2 linked regions of the Drosophila melanogaster genome follow. The protein of the gene in region 1 purifies or fractionates together with the protein of each later gene. This does not show direct contact. Each region holds a gene or a part of one and is shown in the gene's direction. Other genes may lie near its edges.

What was found. The genes of interacting proteins can lie anywhere in the genome.
Region 2: the proteins of Mfap1 (region 1) and Prp38 purify together in Drosophila melanogaster (affinity purification with mass spectrometry; 2 studies listed by BioGRID, with this or other methods). This does not show direct contact.

The regions. Positions count from the first base shown.
Region 1 is NT_037436.4:1,939,507-1,943,372, forward strand, and holds Mfap1 (Microfibril-associated protein 1), read left to right. Parts: upstream 1-1,561; 5' UTR 1,562-1,669; coding exon 1,670-1,748; intron 1,749-1,809; coding exon 1,810-2,731; intron 2,732-2,793; coding exon 2,794-3,229; 3' UTR 3,230-3,366; downstream 3,367-3,866. Other genes in the region: mu2 (mutator 2), read right to left, coding at 3,476-3,690, 3,747-3,866. UniProt on the Drosophila melanogaster protein: Required for pre-mRNA splicing.
Region 2 is NT_033778.4:9,142,395-9,145,671, forward strand, and holds Prp38 (pre-mRNA processing factor 38), read left to right. Parts: upstream 1-1,561; 5' UTR 1,562-1,733; coding exon 1,734-2,726; 3' UTR 2,727-2,757; downstream 2,758-3,277. Other genes in the region: shrb (shrub), read right to left, coding at 221-261, 323-606, 665-842, 1,226-1,403; CG30344 (uncharacterized protein), read left to right, coding at 3,193-3,277. UniProt on the Drosophila melanogaster protein: Required for pre-mRNA splicing.

The DNA.
Region 1 (3,866 bases):
AAGTGAAATGCGCTGTAAACAAACATAAAAGTTTAATTGCTGGTTCTTGGCCAGTTTGGGATTGCGTGATGTGTAAATATTTCCATTTGTCTCACCCTTTATTACTTTTTAAGTAACTCGAGTCACAAAGGCAAAAAGTGCGCCAATTAATAATGGAAACGATTATATCTTTCGTTTTTTGTACACTTGTCGCCTCGCCTCAATTGCTGGCTATGTGGTGTTTTACTTGGATAACGATAACGAGTTCGATCTGGTACGATTTTGATCAGGAATGACACTCTTTCTCCCGCTAATAGAAAATTATTTGTTTACAATTCCTGTGCGCCAGTGTGGGTGTTTAATTCTAATTGAAATGTATTCCCAGTTTGAATTTAAATTTGAACTGAAACGGCGCCGGTCAGTTCAAAAAGAGTTCAAATCGCAATAAATTGATAAATGTAAAATGTATGTACATATCTAGTATGTAGTGGCAAAAAGAAAGGGGGTCTCCAAATATTCAGCAGGTACTTCCCCCCAAGCGGAAAGTCACCAAATCGACGCCCATTTTTCTAAAGGTCAGTGAGTTAGCTAGGCAGATATGCACTTAAGCATGAAGCGTGTTGCATTAATTAAATATGCCCGCCATGTCGTTAACTAACAGTCTCATGTAAATCTTGGCCATTCAACTACCTCAGCCGACGAAAAGCAGTTAAAAGCAGTTCGGCAAATGCGTCTCGGTGTTTAGGCCCGAAACGATCCCATCCCATGCCATTCCAATTCCATTCCATTCCAAATCCCCATCCCCATCCATATCCAAAGCAAATCCAGCTAACTCTGTTCCTCGGATGCAAGTGGCCGAAGACGTCACAAAACTGGTCGAGCCCCTCGTCCGCCAAGTGGTTCTTTCGGACTTTGGTCCGGTTGGGTGGGTATCAAATCACATCACATCAGATCCGAACGGTTTTTCAAACATTACAAGACAATCTTCACACGTGCTGGCTGCGTGCTGTCGAAACTGAAAATACGCAATACCAATAAAAAGAATTTTGGATTCGATTCCGGCATTACACAAGATCAAGCACCCCTCCTCCGTCCTCCCTCTATCCATCGTATGGGAATTGGAGAAAGCGTAGTAGTCAATTAATTTACTAATGAGAGTGGGCGTTGACATTGCTAAAACACTTGTTTATAAAAACAGCACAGAAAAGAACATTTTCCTTTTCACCAAGGAACCCAATATATATGTTTAAATTTTTTGCAATCCAAAAAAGCTTAAATGAAAATGAATTTCTTACTTTCAATAGTTTTTTCCAATATATAGTTGTCTAACAATAAATTGCTCCATTTCTTTCTGTGTATTAATATTTTCAATTATCGAATGTCTCAATTAGTTGCTGGCCTTAATTCTGGCTTTGCGAAGTCATCGCACTTCCGTCATTGCAATTCAATATTCACCATATATATGTAGTAAAACTTTCTTAATATTTCAAATTGCGGGCCTTGTTCGATAGCGTTGCCACTCTGGTTTTGCTGAGCTGCATAGGCATCGATAATATTTGTAAGCAAAGTATCGATTATTTTCAGATACTTTTGTCCATCTCTAATTTACCATACTTTTATTTAGGAAATATTTACAAGGAATAAATACAAAGATTTGCTTATTACCCGTGGATTATAAGTTAAAACCACGATGAGTGCAGCCACCGCCGCCGCCGCCGCTTCTGGGATCCAGAGCACAGCGGGCGCCATTCCCATGCGCAATGAGAAAGGTAAACAGCGAAGCTCGATCCTCACCAGAAATTGTTTATAAGCTGCATATCTCTTCAATAGGTGAATTGTCCATGCAAAAGGTGAAGGTGCAGCGATACATATCCGGTAAGCGACCCGACTACGCCCGTGCGGACTCCAGTTCGGAGGAGAGCGACGACGATGACTTCATTGACACCAGGAAGCGCCTTGAGCGCCACAAGGCGGAACGGCATAAGCTGGAGCTCTCCCGTCAAGGCGGCAGCGCGGAGGGCGAAGAGCGGGCGGCGGGTGAGGGCCAGGAGGAGGACGATGCCGAGGTGGACGATCCACGCCTCCGAAGATTGCGGCAGCGACCCGTAGACATGGAGGACATGGAACGTGAGCGGAGGGAACGCCACCGACACATCCACGAACCGGAAATCATGGAGAGTGACAGCGAAGACGAGGAGGAAGACGAGGGAGCACAGGGAGCGATTCAGCGGGGCACCAATAAGATCACACTGGCATCCGAATCCGACACGGATGCGGAGCTCAGCGACACAGAGCTGGAGAACCGGCGCACCAAGCTGAGATCCCGCATGCTGCAGCAGCAGCGCGAGGAGGAGGTTCTACAGAAAGAGGATGAGAAACAGTCGGAATCGTCCGAATCAGAAAGCTCCGAGTACGAGGAGGAGACCGAAAGCGAGGAGGACAACGAACCCCGCCTGAAGCCGCTCTTCGTCCGAAAGAGAGATCGTGCCACCATCCAGGAGAAGGAGCGAGAGGCTCAGAAGCAGAAGCAGCTGGAGGCGGAGGCCAAGCGGGCAGCCAAGGAGCGCAGAAGAGCCACCCTGCGAATGGTCGAGGAGAGCGTCAAGAAAGATCTGGAGAAGACCAAGCCGGAGACCAATGAGGCCTGCATCGAGGACGTGTGCACGGACGACGAAAACGACGAGGTGGAATACGAGGCCTGGAAGCTGCGTGAACTCAAGCGAATGAAGCGGGATCGCGAGGAACGTGATAAGTAAGTGAACATCAAACTGCTCTTAGAATTCCTTTTTAACAATTCTTTCCCTTTTCTTTCAGCGTCGAACGCGAGAAGCTGGACATTGATCGCATGCGCAACATGACCGAAGAGGAGCGACGCCAGGAGCTGCGCCAGAACCCCAAGGTGGTCACCAACAAGGCCACCAAGGGCAAGTACAAGTTCCTGCAGAAGTACTATCATCGTGGTGCCTTCTACCTGGATGAGGAGAACGACGTCCTCAAGCGCGACTTCGCCCAGGCCACGCTGGAGGATCACTTCGATAAGACCATTCTGCCCAAGGTGATGCAGGTGAAGAACTTCGGCCGCTGCGGCCGCACCAAGTACACTCATTTAGTGGACCAGGACACCACCAAGTTCGACTCGCCCTGGTACGCCGAGTCATCCAGCAACATCAAGTTCCACAACGAACACGCCGGCGGCATGAGGCAGCAGTTTGACAAGCCCACCGGCTCGAAGCGAAAAAAGATGGAGTAGTGTTAGACGTATGTAATTGATGTATTTGACAGGCATTAGGAAAGTAACAAGTAAATATTGTGCGGCCACAGTTATGATGGAACCAAAACTTCATATACAAACAATTATATATAATACAAATATCATAAGTTTAAGGTATGAACGAGATTTCGTCTGGGACTTCGATGTGTGATGTACAATTTTGGAATAATGGCTAACGAATGATAACAAAAAGCGGAGAACACACAAAAAAAAAAACTATAACGTTTAAAGTTTGAGCGTGTGCTCCTGTAGCATTTCAATGTTGTGTTGAACGAGCGCCTGCATAACAGCCTCGGTTTTGATGAAGTGCACCTTTTCATAGTTGTTCAGACGTCGCTTAGATTTCGTATCCTTGCTGGTGGTGACCACGTACAGATCCACGCTGATGGCCAGCGAAGGCGGTTGGGCATGAACCTTGCCGCCGGCGCTGTGAATGATGACTGTGGGAGATTACCGATTAGCCACTAGTTGGAATAAGATTTCTAGTTAGGCTTGCCTTTCATTTCGTTGGCCTTTGGCACTATGTCTTTGCCGAGCATAAAGTGCAAGCCATACAGCAAGCGAGGGTGTTCCAGTACGGAGGAGGGTTTGAACTTGTAGGTCTCCTCGAACGTTG
Region 2 (3,277 bases), on another chromosome or scaffold:
GCTCATGTGAGGCCTGACTATGCTTATTTCGTTTATTTTAAAATCACATTCCTAGTTTATGTACCATTTGTTGAATTGCCAAAGGAATTAATGCCTTGTATTCTCTCCCTCGCTTCGAACTAAAATTTTGCTTAATTAACAGCAGTATTGATTATTAAATTAAACAAAAACGATAGGGTGTATCTTCAGAACAGTAAGGAGATTTCAATAGCTCTCTGATTTAGTTGGACCAGGATAAAAGCTGCTTCATGTCTGGATCATCTGTAACGCAAGTTAATCGTTAATTACCAAACGTAGATCCACATGCAGTGACTGAACTCACCATCATCCTCCACGGCAGTCGTGGTTGTCGCCTTTTTCTTTTCTTTGGCCTTCTCGGGCAAATCTTCTGTGGGTGCTTCTGGCAATGTGGGCGTCGGCTCGGGTATGCCAATGATTTCCTTATCAAAGTTCTCCTGCTCCAGCTCGTCGAGTTCCCGCTCGAGATCCTCATCATCCAGATCGGCGCCGAATGCCACTGGGTTCGAAATGGCATCGGAAATCTCGCGGGCCACGTCCTGCTGCTCGGCAATGTCATCCATCATGTCGTGCACCTTGTCCACGTCCCTGCATAAAAGTGAAAGTTAGTTCCTGGTTGATACAATGGCACAAATCCATGACTCACATATTCTGATGGGCTCTCTTGAGGGCATCCGCGGCATTCTTCATCGTGGTCAAGACGGCAGTGTTTGTGTTGGCGCTCTCCAGAGCCTCGCGCTGCATTTCGATTGTGGACAGGGTGCCATCGATCTGCTGGAGTTGCTTCTCCAGCCGCTTCTTTTTCTTGAGTGCTTGCAGGGCCACTGAAAATGTGAGAAGTGGAGGAATTAGAAGGTTTCGAGGACTGGCTTATGTATATATCCGAAATATGATTTGGCCAATTCGCAATGCGTGCTTTGAAATTACTCTACTGCATGGCTTGAGTTTGTTTTGGGTATTAAAAGTAATGTTTATATTACGTTCTGAGCGATTTGCGGACACGTCCAGGCATCGAATGGTATGCGGGTGAAAAGGCAAAGAGATACATATTGTTTATTGAGTTTTCTATTTGCTGGCAGTATGGGATACTGATTAACTGGGAGCAGGCCTCGCGGCCGCAACAAAAACAAAGCAATGAGTCATTTCCCCTTGGCCCATTTGAGTGACCAACTAGGAAGCCAAGGACCTCGGCGCACTCCTCTCATACCTCTTTTGTTTTTAGACGCATTCTTGCGGGCTATATTCAGTTCGTCCTCGATCTTGGCCTCCAGGAACTCCTGCTTTTTGATAAGCATGTTCTCCGTCTCGCGCAGCTTCTGTATCGCCTCGCCGGTGGTGGGGGCCACTTCCTTCTTGCCGCCGAACATCTTCCCGAAGAAACTCATCCTGGCTGATCTGTTTTTTCACCCGAATTTAGCGAACAAGTGAGTTTTTTTCTGCTATTGCGTTTCTTGGTTGTCTGGGAGCTGTTGTTCGTATGCGTCACCCGATACCGATTGCCGTCCCCTATCGTTATCGCCTTTGTGTATGCGCTTGGCGGAGTGGCATATTTCTCCCTTACGCAGCTGGCCACTCTGGTTAGCAAACGCCGAAAAATAAATAAATATATTCGGTGCATTTTCACATTTTGCACTGCTGCCAATAGATACCCGAATTTCTGGATTGAAAAGTCCTATTTGAGTTACGATTGACAAGGAACAAGGGTTCAACTGAAAATGGCCAACCGCACGGTGAAGGAGGCCAAAAACGTGCACGGCACCAATCCGCAGTACCTCATCGAGAAGATCATCCGTTCGAGGATATACGACTCTAAGTACTGGAAGGAGCAATGCTTTGCTCTCACTGCGGAGCTTCTGGTGGACAAGGCAATGGAGCTGCGATTCGTCGGAGGCGTCTACGGCGGCAACATCAAGCCCACCCAGTTCCTCTGCCTCACACTCAAGATGCTGCAGATTCAGCCGGAAAAGGACATCGTAGTGGAGTTTATCAAGAACGAGGAGTTCAAGTACGTTCGAGCATTGGGAGCCTTCTATCTACGGCTCACAGGAGCTGCCCTGGACTGCTACAAGTACCTGGAGCCGTTGTACATAGACAATCGAAAGCTGCGCCGCCAGAATCGCGCCGGCCAGTTCGAGATTGTCTACATGGATGAGTACATTGACGAACTGCTGCGCAACGACCGTGTCTGCGACATTATACTGCCCCGCATCCAGAAGCGCTCCATTCTCGAGGAAAACAACGAAATCGAGCCCAAGGTGTCAGTGCTGGATGAGGACTTGGACGACGAACTGCCCAGCGACGAGGAGAAGGCAGACGAGACCAACCGGCCTAAGGAGAATTCGACAGCAGTGAGACGACCACGGAGAGTTCGCTCCAAGTCAAGGTCCCGCAGTCGGGAGCGCGAGCGAAGATCTGGGCAGGGCAACAGCGCCCGTTCCCGGGATTACTACGACGAACTGGAAGACTACGACCGCCAGCGAAATAGGGTGCGCAATCGGGACACCCACAACGAGGACTATGACCGTCGGCAAAACAATGGACGCCACGATCGCGAACGAGAGCGCCAAGATCGCGACAGTATCAGGGAGCGCGAGAGGGACGGCGACAGAGATCGCCGGGATAGGGAACGAGAGCGAGAACGTGACCGTGGCCGTCACGACCAGCGGGAACGGGACTCGCGAGGAGAGCGTGACCGACGACGCTACTAAAATTATAAATAAATTGAATTAATTAACCAGTAAAAAGTGTCAGAAAATTTAAACCACAAACTCTCAATTCGCCGCAAGTTGGCATCCCTAGCACTAAGAATCGAAAATCGAAATCAAAACAATAACACAGAAGAAGAAGAAGTCAATCAGCTGTTGCTGCTTGCATTTAGAAAGTTTCGAATAGAGTAACGTTAACTGCGGGAGAATCCAGCCAGCTGTACTTGTGAAAATAATACACGTACCAGGGATTTAAGCAACAATAAATCCACGTTAATCAGCAGTAAAGCAGCTGAAGCTTTAGTATCTGAAAACTCTCCGTCGCGTTTGGAAGACTTTCAGGGAACTGCGCAGCGTTCTGGTGAATGAATTGTAAATTCCATTATCTCCGGTAGACTGGTGTAAGCCAGACGCATCCACGAGTTCCGTTCTCGATAGCGAGCAAGTAGGAACGGAACGGAACGGCAGTATGCCTCGCTCTGATACGGAGGCTTTGGTGGCCGATGTGGAGACTGGCGAAGATTCGGCACCACGCATACTGGACGCATCATCTG